3 linked regions of the Macaca mulatta genome follow. The protein of the gene in region 2 interacts with the protein of the main gene of each other region in a pairwise test. Links are inferred from orthologs where the notes say so. Each region holds a gene or a part of one and is shown on either strand. Other genes may lie near its edges.

Region 1 (3,746 bases), on a different chromosome or scaffold from region 2:
CCAGCCCCAACCCCTCCAAAAACATCTTGCTCTCTGGCCCTGGAAACTAGCTCCACCTTCAGACTTGCCAAAAACTACCAGATTCATCACAAAGAGCTGTGGAGTCTCCTGGATTCCCAACTCTGGCCTCCTACTCCCATCTCTGAGCTACTTGGCAGGAAGAGGAATCCTGTTCCTCGACTCACAGCAGTCGGGGGCCCCAGTACCCTGGCTTCCCTGCCAGCCAATCACAGCAGCCTGCTTGCTGCCCTCCTCCCTGGGAGATGGGGCCCAGAGACTCCTCTCAGGGTCAGCAGAAGACTTGGCCCGCCACAGAGCAAGGTGGAAGAAAGTGCCAGCTCACCCACCCTCTCCCCCCAGCCCCCTAGGAGACAATCTGCATGTCCTAAATAACCTCTTCCAGATCCAGCAGCTGCCCGGGACTGAGGCTCCTTCTGAGGCGGGACAGAACCGGTGACTTTCCTGCCCTGTCTGAGCCCAGCCCAAGTTTCCAGCAAGAGGCCCAGGGAGCCACTTCCCAAACCACAGGAGTGACAGCAGCTCCCCACAGGGTTATGAAAGACCTTGGTCAGAGAGGGCGGGCCGGGGGAGGGGGCACCATTATCACATCGGAAGCAGCTGCAGCTCACCTCCCTGCCTGTCCCTCAGCTTGGGCCTTTGGCTAAGGGGGGTAGAGGGAGCTGTTTCCACCAGGCCCAAAGCAGCTGCTCCAGTTCCTCAGAATGAGGACAGGAAAGGATTAGGAAGAAGCTGTCTCTTCCGGGATATAAGAGGAAGCAAAGAAGGTGGGATGAAATACATCAGCCCTTCCTTAAAGCAATCAGAGCCTGGCTTTAATTGGCTCTGGGAGGTTTTTCTATCACAAAGTCCACATGAGGATAAAGACTCAACCAAGGCAAACCCCCTCCCCCACATGAAGCACATTCCACTCCCCTACTCCAGTGGGGGTGTGCAGGCATGCCCTTCTGCTGCCAATAAATAACTCATGGTGGCTGCGTAAACCCAGAGGCAAAGTACTAGTGAGTGTAGACATGCAGTTTGACTTGTTGCTATCTGAGGGAAAGACCAGGAAGGAGTGGCATCCCCTGGAGGTCAGGAGGGCGTTTAATGCCTGACTGCAGCTCGAGCCTAGGCGGGAGTGATACTAACCATCACACCACACTGCCCCATCGTTTGTTCCACCCTAATTCCCTTCCCAAAGGTCCTGATCGCCTTGCGCCCTCTCCAGGGAGCAGAAAGCCTCTGATATCTCAAGCGTTCCTTTTCCTGGAAAGTGGGGAGACAGTATGTGTCGGGGGTGGGGGGAGTTACACACGCACCCGCAACTGGCGGGGAGAGACAGCGTGGTCGGTGTAGATGCACAGTTTTTCGATGGTCAGGGGCGTGGTCTCGCGCAGCTTGGAGGCCAGCAGCATGCAGACCGCACCCAGGAGCTGCAACTGCGCCTTTCGGGTGGGGACACAGGACAGGTAGCGATCCAGGTAGTTCATGGCCAGGGGGAAGACTTCCTCCTCACAGCGCTGCTCCTCACATACCTGGGGGAGGGCGCACAGTCACTGCTGGGGCCGGAGCGTGGGGAACACAGCAGCGCGGGGGTGGGGGCGCTGAAGTGAGGTGGGATAGGGAGCAAAAACGGGAGAGAGGGTAAGCTACTTACAGAGACAAGGACCAATAAAGGAGGAGGATGGGCCCTCCCCAAGGTGACGCCCCCCACTTCCTCTGCGCGGCCTCCTCCCCTCTCCCCTTGGTGGGGTGGGGGTGGTAAAGTCAAGGAGCCCTTCCTCAAGAAGGATTCCAAACGGAGACTCCCCTCCCCCACAGCGACGGGAAGTGGGACGCAAGGGTCACCCATGGTAGCCAGAGAGCTGGGACCTCACCCCCATCACCGCCACCACTGCACACACCCGAAGGGAAGGGAGGAGGCTCCTGCCACTGCCTCCCGCACTTTTCATTTCCCTGTCGGCCGGAACAGGGCGCGCGCCACCCCCATCGCCTTCCCCGCCAGAACCCCGCGACAGACACAGGAACCGGCTCCCGGGCGGGGGCGGCCGAGCCCAGGGTTTTCCAGGCGCGCTCTCCGGAGAAGGCCGGGAGGGGGAGGGAAGTGGGAGACGCTGTGAGAAGCCGAAGGGGAGACGATGTCCCTGGTCCCGTTTTCTCGGCCCGAAGAGAGGCACAGTTACGGTGCCAAGTGACTGGCACTCACAGTTGGGAGGAGCCGATTAGGGCTCGGGAAAGCAAGGGAGGCAGCTGGCTAGGGTGCCCTAGTGAAAGGCCAGGCCCCGGGGGTCTTAGCCTCGGAGCATCCTGCAGATTGCTGTGGGGACCGCGATGTCCCGACAGGGCGGCCCCGGTGTGTCCAGACCCGGGAGCGGTGGGGGAGGGGGACGCGTCCGGGCGGTACCTCCAGCATCCAGTAAGCCAGCATCTTCCGCATGTGCGGCTTTATCTCCCGCTGCACGCACTGGAAGTAGGAGGCGCGGGGCACGTAGCGCTCCTCCAGGCGGAGCAGGCTCTGCAGGACACGCTGGTCCCCGAGTAGCCGCGGGTCCGGCCCGGCCCGGGGCGCGTGCCGGGTGCCTTCGCAACACAGCAGCTCCATACTCGGGCAGCGCACAGGCAGGGCGGGAGTGCGGGCTCGCGAGTTTCAAGGCAGGCGACGGGCCGGAGAGCGCGGAGAGCGGGTCTGGCGCTGGCGCTGGCGCTGGCACTGCGCGGCGGATCCCCAGCCCGCCCGCCGCCCGCGCGCGCCGCTTCCCTGACAGGCGCCCCGCCCCTCGCGACGATGTAGCAACCGTGGAATGCTCGGACGTCGCAACGCTCCGAGGGGCGGGGCTGCGGCGCCCCGGACGGAAAGGGCTGGCTGGGCGCTCTCCCCTCCCTCCCGCGGCCCCATTGGGCCGCTGAGCGCAAGCCGGCCGGCTTCCGGGCACTCCGGGCCCTCTGGACCACCGGGTGCAGAGAACTTTCTAGGAGGTGGGCCTCCTACCCACCCACGAGCCCTCCCATTTTGCTTCTCGGACTCTAGTCACCCAGGAAAGAATTTTTCTCCAAAGGTCATTCATTCACTTATTCATTCGTCAAACCCTACTTCACCGGCTGCTTGCTCTAAGGAATGCGATAAATAATGTCAGAGTCAGTTCTTAGTGAACACTGCTCCAAAGCCTCACAATGTAATGACTCACTACATCTTCACGAAAACTCGGAAACCGAGGCAACTGTCATTCGGTTGGCCCGTGGCAGAGCTAGGATTGGGAATCTGGCCTTCTTGCTCCAGATTCTGTGCTCTACACCACTGCTAGTTAAACAGTGATCCCAGACCTGTCCCGTGCATGGTCATCGCCTGGGAGCTGGTTAGAAATGCAGACTCTCAGGCCCACCCCTAACCTGAATCAGAATCTGCATTTTAACTAGATTTCTGTGCACTTTAAAGTATGAGAGCTGGGCCGGGCGCGGTGGCTCACGCCTGTAATCCCAGCACTTTGGGAGGCCGAGGCGGGCGGATCACAAGGTCAGGAGATCGAGACCACGGTGAAACCCCGTCTCTACTAAAAATACAAAAAATTAGCCGGGCGCGGTTGTGGGCGCCTGTAGTCCCAGCTACTCGGGAGGCTGAGGCAGGAGAATGGCGTGAACCCGGGAGGCGGAGCTTGCAGTGAGCCGAGATCGCGCCACTGCACTCCAGCCTGGGCCACAGAGCGAGACTCCGTCTCAAAAAAAAAAAAATAAAAATAAAAAAAAAAAAA
Region 2 (3,746 bases):
GCGCCGGGCACGTCAATGTCACGGCTTAATATTTATCCCTATATCATTGTGTTGCGTCGCTACCCTCCCCGCCTCCTGAGGCCCGGACGTGCAGGGAGATGGGGTCCAGGGGTGCCGGAGGGCGTTCAAGGGTCGCGCACAAGCTGGAGCGGAAGGACTGTGGGTCCATCCGTGTGGGGCCGCAGAATGTGGGTGGGGGCTCCCAGGACCCTGTAACCCGATGCTGTGAGTGTGCGAGAAGGGGTGGTCAGACATCTGCTCAGAAATTGCTTCCTTTCTTTCTACTTTCAGTTTTTCTACGAGGAGACATTTAAAAACGACTCGCATACACAAATGGTCTCTTTGGGGTAAAGGAGTCTCGGTTGGAAACGGAATTCTCTCTCCGACTGGGAGGACCTCCCTGGTGGAAACCTTGGGAAGACCAGCCATCTGGTCGGGGAGGGTTGGGGCTAATCGGGGGTGGGCGAACGAGAGGTCCTGGGGGAGGGGAGACACTGTCCCCCACGGGATCCCAAGGGTGGGAGAAAGGGGTGTTCGTCACAATTTCGCTTGTCGTCTTCTTAAAGAATAATTTCAGGAAGAGGATAGCTTAATCGCGCCTCGTCCTGAAGTTTTAAATTGATTTCGACCTGAGCAAAACTCAACCTCTCTTTCAAAGGGTGGGGGGTGGGGGGTTAAACCCTGCGCCTCCAGGGGTGAGAAACAAGGTCTCTGCCCTCGGGGCCCGGACTCGCGAACCTTTTCCCACTCCCAGGACCACCCCGCTGTAGGTAGCGGAGGTGGCTGCCCCATTCCCTCTCCGGCTAAAGGCCGGGTCCAGGCTGCAGCCGGACGCCCCCGGAGCCCTCTGCATAACAAAGCGCCGGAGAAGGGTACCCTAACTTTCCCTCCCCATTCAGCAGCTATCTGGGACCTAGGGAGCCTCCCTCCCCCACGGCCGCCGCGGCCTCGGCAGGACTTTCACCACGCTGGCCGCGTGTCCGGAATTCCCGGGGCACCTCGGAATTACCTGCCTCGCAACCGCTGCCCCGCTCGCCTTTTGCCAGGAATTAAACAAACGGCGCGACCCCCACGATGAGCGCGTGGAGCGGACCGCGGCGAAAGCAGTGCTTCTGGCACTCACTCCATTCAGAACTTTCCTTAAAAGCCGAGGAAAGAGCCCCCAAGGACTGCCCGGGCGTCTGAGCCAGGTCGAGGGCCACACAGGTAGCCGGGGAGCCGCCGCCGGCCGCCCAACCCGCCTCTCCTGCGTCCCCCCATCCCCCTCCCGCTCGAGTCTAGCCCCGGGCTCCGCAGCGAAGGAAGCGTCGGGGACGTCCCACCCCCGCAGGGAACTTCGCCTGCTGCCCCCGCCGGGCCCCGCACTACCCTGACTCTCCCCCCACTCGCCCCCCAGACGGTCGGCTTCGGCGGAGAGAAACGGGAGCAGCAATGCCTTTTCCCCCCCTCTCCTCCACTTTTTTTTTGTTGTTGTTGTTGCTTTCCCACGCTGGCTGAATGTGACTTGACCCCATTTCAAAAAAAGTTTGACATAGTGCTTCAACATTTCCGCATTCCTCCGCGACTACAAAGGCTGCAGCCGCCTCCTTCTGCTTTCTGTCTCTGCTCTCTGTCTTCACACTCAATGAAATCCTTCATGCGCCTCTCCCGAAGCCTGCCAAGCACCACAAGGGTCGCCACCAGCACGGCAACAAGAGGCCACACCGGGGACCGCGACTCCCGCGTGTGCGCACACGCAGATGCGCCCATATGCACACGGACGGGCGCCCTGCGGGGACAAGGGCTGCTCACCACGGGGCGTGTGTTTAACTCCAATATTTTAAATGATAAAAGTAAACTTGGAAACTAAAGCAAACGTGCGTCTTCGTGGGGCTCCAAGCCTGGGCACCGGCCGGCTGCGTGCACTCTTCTGTGCATAACACGCCCGCAGGAAGCCTGCGTTAACATTTATCTCGTGGAGGGGAAGGTGGAGCCCACACCCACACCTCAGCGAGCTGGCGAGGGAGTTTTCGTGGGGGAAATGCAAGCACATTCTCCAGCATGGAGTCCCTAGAGGCAGTGCATTTTGAACCCTAAATGTGAATTATTATGTGAATGTCCGAGTAGAGTTCCAGTTCCGTTTGGAGAAACTGGATGAGGAGTGTTCTGTGTGAGTGTGTGTGCGCACGGGTACGTGGAAGCAGGATCTCGGTGTCGCGGGTGTCCCTAGCGTAGGATCTCCCCCTCTCGTCAGATTAGAATCCTCTAGCTCCCCAAAACTGGCCCCCATAACCAACGCCGTCTCAGTTCGTAAGGGGTTAACCAAAGCCGATTCCAGGGAAACACAGGTCCCCCCCACCCCCCGCCAGCCTCCACTTACCCCACCCACAGTTCTGCCTCGGACCCCGGCCAATCCCCCATATCTCCCCAGGGACCCCCCACCCCGCAGCCCACCCACCCGAGCGCACAGCTCCTCACCTGAGGGGCCCAGTCGCGTCGGGCCTCCTGAGGGGGCTGCGAGTGTCAGTCGGCTCTCCGCACGTGTCCGCGGCCTCGCGGAGCAGGTAATCAGACTCTGGGGAAGGAGTTACCAGCACTCTCTCCGGCGAGGGGGTGGGCACAGCGGCGGAGGGCGGAGGGAAGGCGGAGGGCGCCGCCCGCGCCGCTAGCTGGGGGCGGACGGGGGCCGCGGGGCTCTGGCCGGCGCTGGGGGCCCCAGCCAGGGAGGCAGCGGGGGCGACCGCGCGGGGTGGGGGCAGGGACCCGAGAAGCCAACTCTGCCGGAGACCCACCCAGCGGCGAGGCTGGGGGCTCGTGGCGCAGTGGCAAGAAAGTGTGCAAATTAAAGCCTTCCGGAGAGAAAGGAGGCGGCCAAGCCCCGGCAGTGCTCCGAGCTCCGGGCTCCCTAGCTCCCTTCTACGAGTCGGGGGCTAGAAAGGCGCGGGGCGGGGGGGTTGGGGGGGCAGGGGAGTTAAATGAAAATTTCCGGCTTTCACTGAAACTGTAGTAGGGGGATCCTGCGACTAAAATAAGCGGCGTTAGTGGGAGAGAGTGGGACGTGTCGTCGGGAGTCGGCGGAGTTTCCAAACCCAGGGTCGCCCAGAGTTGGGGTTTTGACAGGGTGAAGCAGGGGGTATCCTCACTGTGTGACGTGGACGGATGGGAAAAACACAAAACAACTAACAATAATTATGAAGGGCCGATGGGGGTGGTAAATACCAATACTTTCCAAGAAACTGAAAAATCAGACCAAAAAATAACTCTTCTCTTAAAAAAATAAAGAAAAAGTTTGGCAGGATGCCTTGCAGAAAAGAAAATACTAATCTGTTCAAGCACTTTTCACTTTCAGCATGAGCTACATTTGTTTTGTTTTCCTTCGCTTCCTTTCTGCCTCACAAAGCCCTATCTTTTCCTTTTAGACAGAGGGTATGGTTTGGAAATTGTCAGGCACTCTTATGGTTAACGATCTACTTGAAGGGGCTGGCGGGTTCACAATTATTAAGTGGTTAGTAACTGCTGAGGGTTCACTAACGTATTTCAGAGGAGCTAAAAAGACTAAAATTTAGTGTAAATAATAGAACTGCAGATAATAGATACATACACAGAAAGAGGAGTGCTCAGTTTAAATGCATTATTGGAAATCTGAAATTTGAAACCTTGTAAGAATGTATACTTTACCTGCTGAGAAACCCTTGAATACAATTATTTCAGGTGAAAATGAGCTTTTGGAGAAAAAAAGTCTTTAAAACCTTCTACAATGGAGTAAA
Region 3 (3,746 bases), on a different chromosome or scaffold from region 2:
TTTATTCTCTAAACGTGTAGAGACAAGAAAGTTGATGGTAAAGTGATGATCGTCATTGTGGAAAAACAAATCTTGATTTCCATCGGAACATGGGAATCTATTTTGTTAAGTGATTTATGGGCAGAGTTAAATTTATTTGGCTTTTAAAGTTTTAAATTATTTGCCTTCCTGACCCCTCCTCCATAATCCAGGTCCAAAAATGTTTATTAGGTACTCAACTACTGTTTGTTAGAAGTTGGGAGTAATGGTTTAGGGGAGAAAATAAACAATTAAGTTTCTTTTTTCTTCCTTTCTTTTTAAAATTTATTTAGTTCTCATAGCAAATCCTGTGTGGAAGGCTTTTGTTTGTCATGTGTCTGTGCTCATAACTGGATTGTACTGTGATAATTTGAGCCAAAGTTGGAGATTAGAAGGGAAAAGTAAATTAAATCATGCAAAATCTTATAAAATTACAAGAATAAATGATTTTTCCTTAATAAACAGTTCATCATTTTTATTTTAGAGTATAACATTTTTAATGTAACATAAAACTAACTATATATACTACAGGATTTTATAATAGCTAAGATTTAAAAACGTTAAACAGTAAATATTTTGCTGTATAAAAAGAGCTTGGGCCAGGCACAGTGGCTTATGCTTGTAATTCCAGCACTTTGGGAGGCCAAAGTGGGCAGATCACCTGAGGTCAGGAGTTCGAGACCAGCCTGGCCAATATGGTGAAATCCCGTCTGTACTACAATAAATAAATAAATAAATAAGATGGGCATGGTGGGGCGTGCCTGAAGTCCCAGCAACTCAGGAGGCTGAGGCAGGAGAATCACTTGCACCCTGAAAGCAGAGGTTGCAGTGAGCTGAGATCACACCAGTGCACTCCAGCCTGGCTGACAAAGTGAGGCCTCGTCTCAAATAAATAAATAAATAAATAAATAAATAAATAGAGCTTGGATGTTAGCAATCAGGATGATGCATAACTTAGAAAAAAATGATGTTTTGCAGGAGTAATCCTGTAGCAGCCGTTTGTGAACATGAACATTATGAAAACATTTGCTGTCATATTTTAAGTTAATTATAAGACAATTTTTGGTAACAAATGTCTAAAATTGAGTTATTTGTTATGGGTTTATGTACTTTAAAATATACCATTTAATTGAAAGGCAGTATACTTCTCATGTTTTGTCAGCTTGTTTCATTAATATTAGAAATGTTCATTTCATCTCTTGAAAACCATAAGTTATATCTACTAGTGATGTAAGGATAGTTTACATAGAAAAAAGAGGGGAAAATAGCTGTTCTTAGTATTTCAGAAAATGGTGAATTACATATATAACTTGTTTTATAATTATTAATAGAATTTTAAGTTTTTAAGAAGCACTTTACAATAGTTTTGCTCCTTTAAAAATCCCTTATTTGTTATACCACTATTCTAAGAATTCAAAAGAAATGAACACTTCTTTAAAATCTACACTATTAACAAGATTCCTTAATATTAGCTTAGTTTTGGAGGGTGATAGTGAGGTGAATACTGAATATGGCCAATAGCCAACAGTAAAGTACAAAAGCATTGTCCTAGATTGTAAAATAAATTAAAAATATCAGTACTAATTAAAGCAGGATTCGTAAACATTGAATAAGTGTATTTTAACGATGAAGATAAGGATGCATTATTTATGAAGATCCTTTGCCATTCAAAAAGGACCTAACAGTTGCTGCAGGAATATTTTTGTAATCTGGGCACTGAGTATGATAATTAAAGAATGAGAAACCTATAGAACTATATATTTTTTCTCTTATGCATCACTCATAAGACACTGCTAACATAAAAGGAACTAAGTGCTGTGGCTGAGGATTCCGGTCTCATTCCTTTGAATTCAATTAGCCTCCATGAGAAAACAATACAACAGATTTCATATAGTAGCTTAAAAGTTTACACTGATTTTTTTCCATGTACTATGATTTTGTAGAATTCCTTAAATCCAATCCAGAATGTGTAACTTATAGTTTACTTATCTTTATCGTTGAAAGCAAACAGACAAGATAATCGTCCTCCCTAAATAACCTTTCCTTTTCGCCTTTTCTCCCCAATTCAATCTATTCCTTGCATCTCTGATGATGAGATGGCAGAACAAAAACCACTAGAAAAGCTTAAACAGTGGATTTTTCAATGTCTCTCTTTAGAATTTTTGCTGGATAAAAGCTTGTTTTACGCCTGGGCTGCACACCTCCGGCCAAGGGAGACTGCTATACAAATCTACATCGGCGATCTTGATTCCAGCCCCGACCCGCCGAGGCCGCGCCCCGCGTTCGCGCGCCCCCTGCCGGCGAGGCCCTGGGGCCCCAGCTACCTGGATCGCGCGCCTCCCGAAGCGGTTGACTCCGTTGGGATCCGCGCCGGCTTCCAGGAGCTGTCGCACCTTCTCCACTAGTCCCCGCGCCGCGGCGCTGGTCAGGCCCTCATCGCTGCCGCCTCCACTGGGCATGCCCTTGTTCTCCTCGCGCATTCCGCAGTCCCCAGACGCGCAGAGGCCCGGATAATCCACCGTTGGCCGTAAACTTAACGACACTCCTCCCTTCTTTCCCACGCTGCTCCGGCGCACTCTCTCCTTCCTAGAAGAGCTGGGCTCAGCTTCATTACCCTCCCGCCGTCCTTCTGCGGCTTGGGGCCCCGTGCAATGGTCGAGCCGCCGGTAGTTAGCTCCGGGCTTTTCCTGGCGCTCAAGAACTAGCGGGCGCTCCTGGATTGCTTCTGGGGAAAAGCGCCTAGCGCGGCCGCAGCTGAGCTCAAAGCGGCTCTGGCCGCAGGGTGCGGACGCGTCGCGGAGTCCTCACTACCCCGCCTCGCTCTGGCAGAGTGGGGAGCCAGCCGGCAAAGAATTCCGTTTTCAGCTGGGCCAAGGGGCCGGCCTCTCCCCACCCCCTTAGGCTCCGCCCCCTGTCCGCTGTGCTCGCCGGGAGGCCAGGCCCCGGCCGACGCGTCACGAGGGAGGGGAAGCCTGCCCAAAGGTGCTGAGACGCATGCGCCAGAGACTGGGCCAGGGAGCCGCCAGGAATGCCGGCTGGACTGCTCGCTGGATGTCCGGTAAAGCCAAGGCTAATATTTTGGGAATGTTGACCCACTACCCTCAGCAACTAATCCCCAGTAGGCGGAGCAGAGGATTTCTGTTCCTTCAGCCTTATGCCAGTTGGTTTCACTGTGGAGACGTTAGTGGCTCCCTTGTGGCCGAGAGAAAGGCATTGAAAATAACTCTGTCTTTCTTAAGATGTCTGAGAGCGACAGCTCTGCACCTGTCATACAAGTTAAATTCATCCCTAGGCAGTACTTGAACTTCACAAGTTTCATATCTTGTGTCAACCTTAGCGGTTTTCTCTTGGATGTGTCTTTCTATTTGAATTTGTCAACCATAAAAATAGAGAAAAATCCCGAGAATCATGTTTTGCATGTGCTTTTTAATTCTTTCCATGTTTGCATTATGGATACAACCCTTAAAAGAGAGAGAGAGAGAGAGAGAGAGAGAGAGAAAACTAGTTCGAGATTGAGAGTGGCAACCTAGCACACAAGACAAAAAAAAATTGTGCTTTAAGAATCTGAGATCCCAGTTTCATCATATTTGCACAGTAAATCTTTGCACTCTTACCTATTTAAACCCACTTTGTCAAGTATTTTATTTTTATTTATCATGAGTAATAAAGGAAATTTATGCAGTAATAATGAAACATAAGAGAGGGGTGTGGTGCTGGGCTTGTCATTA

The links.
Region 1: the proteins of CDK6 (region 2) and CCND3 interact in binary tests that used the Homo sapiens proteins (3 or more experiments, as listed by UniProt). The link is inferred for Macaca mulatta from reciprocal best matches to the Homo sapiens genes CDK6 and CCND3.
Region 3: the proteins of CDK6 (region 2) and CDKN2B interact in binary tests that used the Homo sapiens proteins (3 or more experiments, as listed by UniProt). The link is inferred for Macaca mulatta from reciprocal best matches to the Homo sapiens genes CDK6 and CDKN2B.

Annotation. Positions count from the first base shown.
Region 1 is NC_133409.1:140,231,475-140,235,220, reverse strand, and holds the start of CCND3 (G1/S-specific cyclin-D3), read right to left. Parts: upstream 2,749-3,746; 5' UTR 2,603-2,748; coding exon 2,405-2,602; intron 2,115-2,404; coding exon of another isoform or gene 1,905-2,114; intron 1,536-1,904; coding exon 1,320-1,535; intron 1-1,319. UniProt on the Homo sapiens protein: Regulatory component of the cyclin D3-CDK4 (DC) complex that phosphorylates and inhibits members of the retinoblastoma (RB) protein family including RB1 and regulates the cell-cycle during G(1)/S transition.
Region 2 is NC_133408.1:126,535,353-126,539,098, reverse strand, and holds the start of CDK6 (cyclin-dependent kinase 6), read right to left. Parts: upstream 2,584-3,746; 5' UTR 2,458-2,583; intron 1,805-2,457; exon of another isoform or gene 1,010-1,804; intron 1-1,009. UniProt on the Homo sapiens protein: Serine/threonine-protein kinase involved in the control of the cell cycle and differentiation; promotes G1/S transition. Phosphorylates pRB/RB1 and NPM1.
Region 3 is NC_133420.1:77,206,693-77,210,438, reverse strand, and holds the start of CDKN2B (cyclin-dependent kinase 4 inhibitor B), read right to left. Parts: upstream 2,780-3,746; 5' UTR 2,499-2,779; coding exon 2,343-2,498; intron 1-2,342. UniProt on the Homo sapiens protein: Interacts strongly with CDK4 and CDK6. Potent inhibitor. Potential effector of TGF-beta induced cell cycle arrest.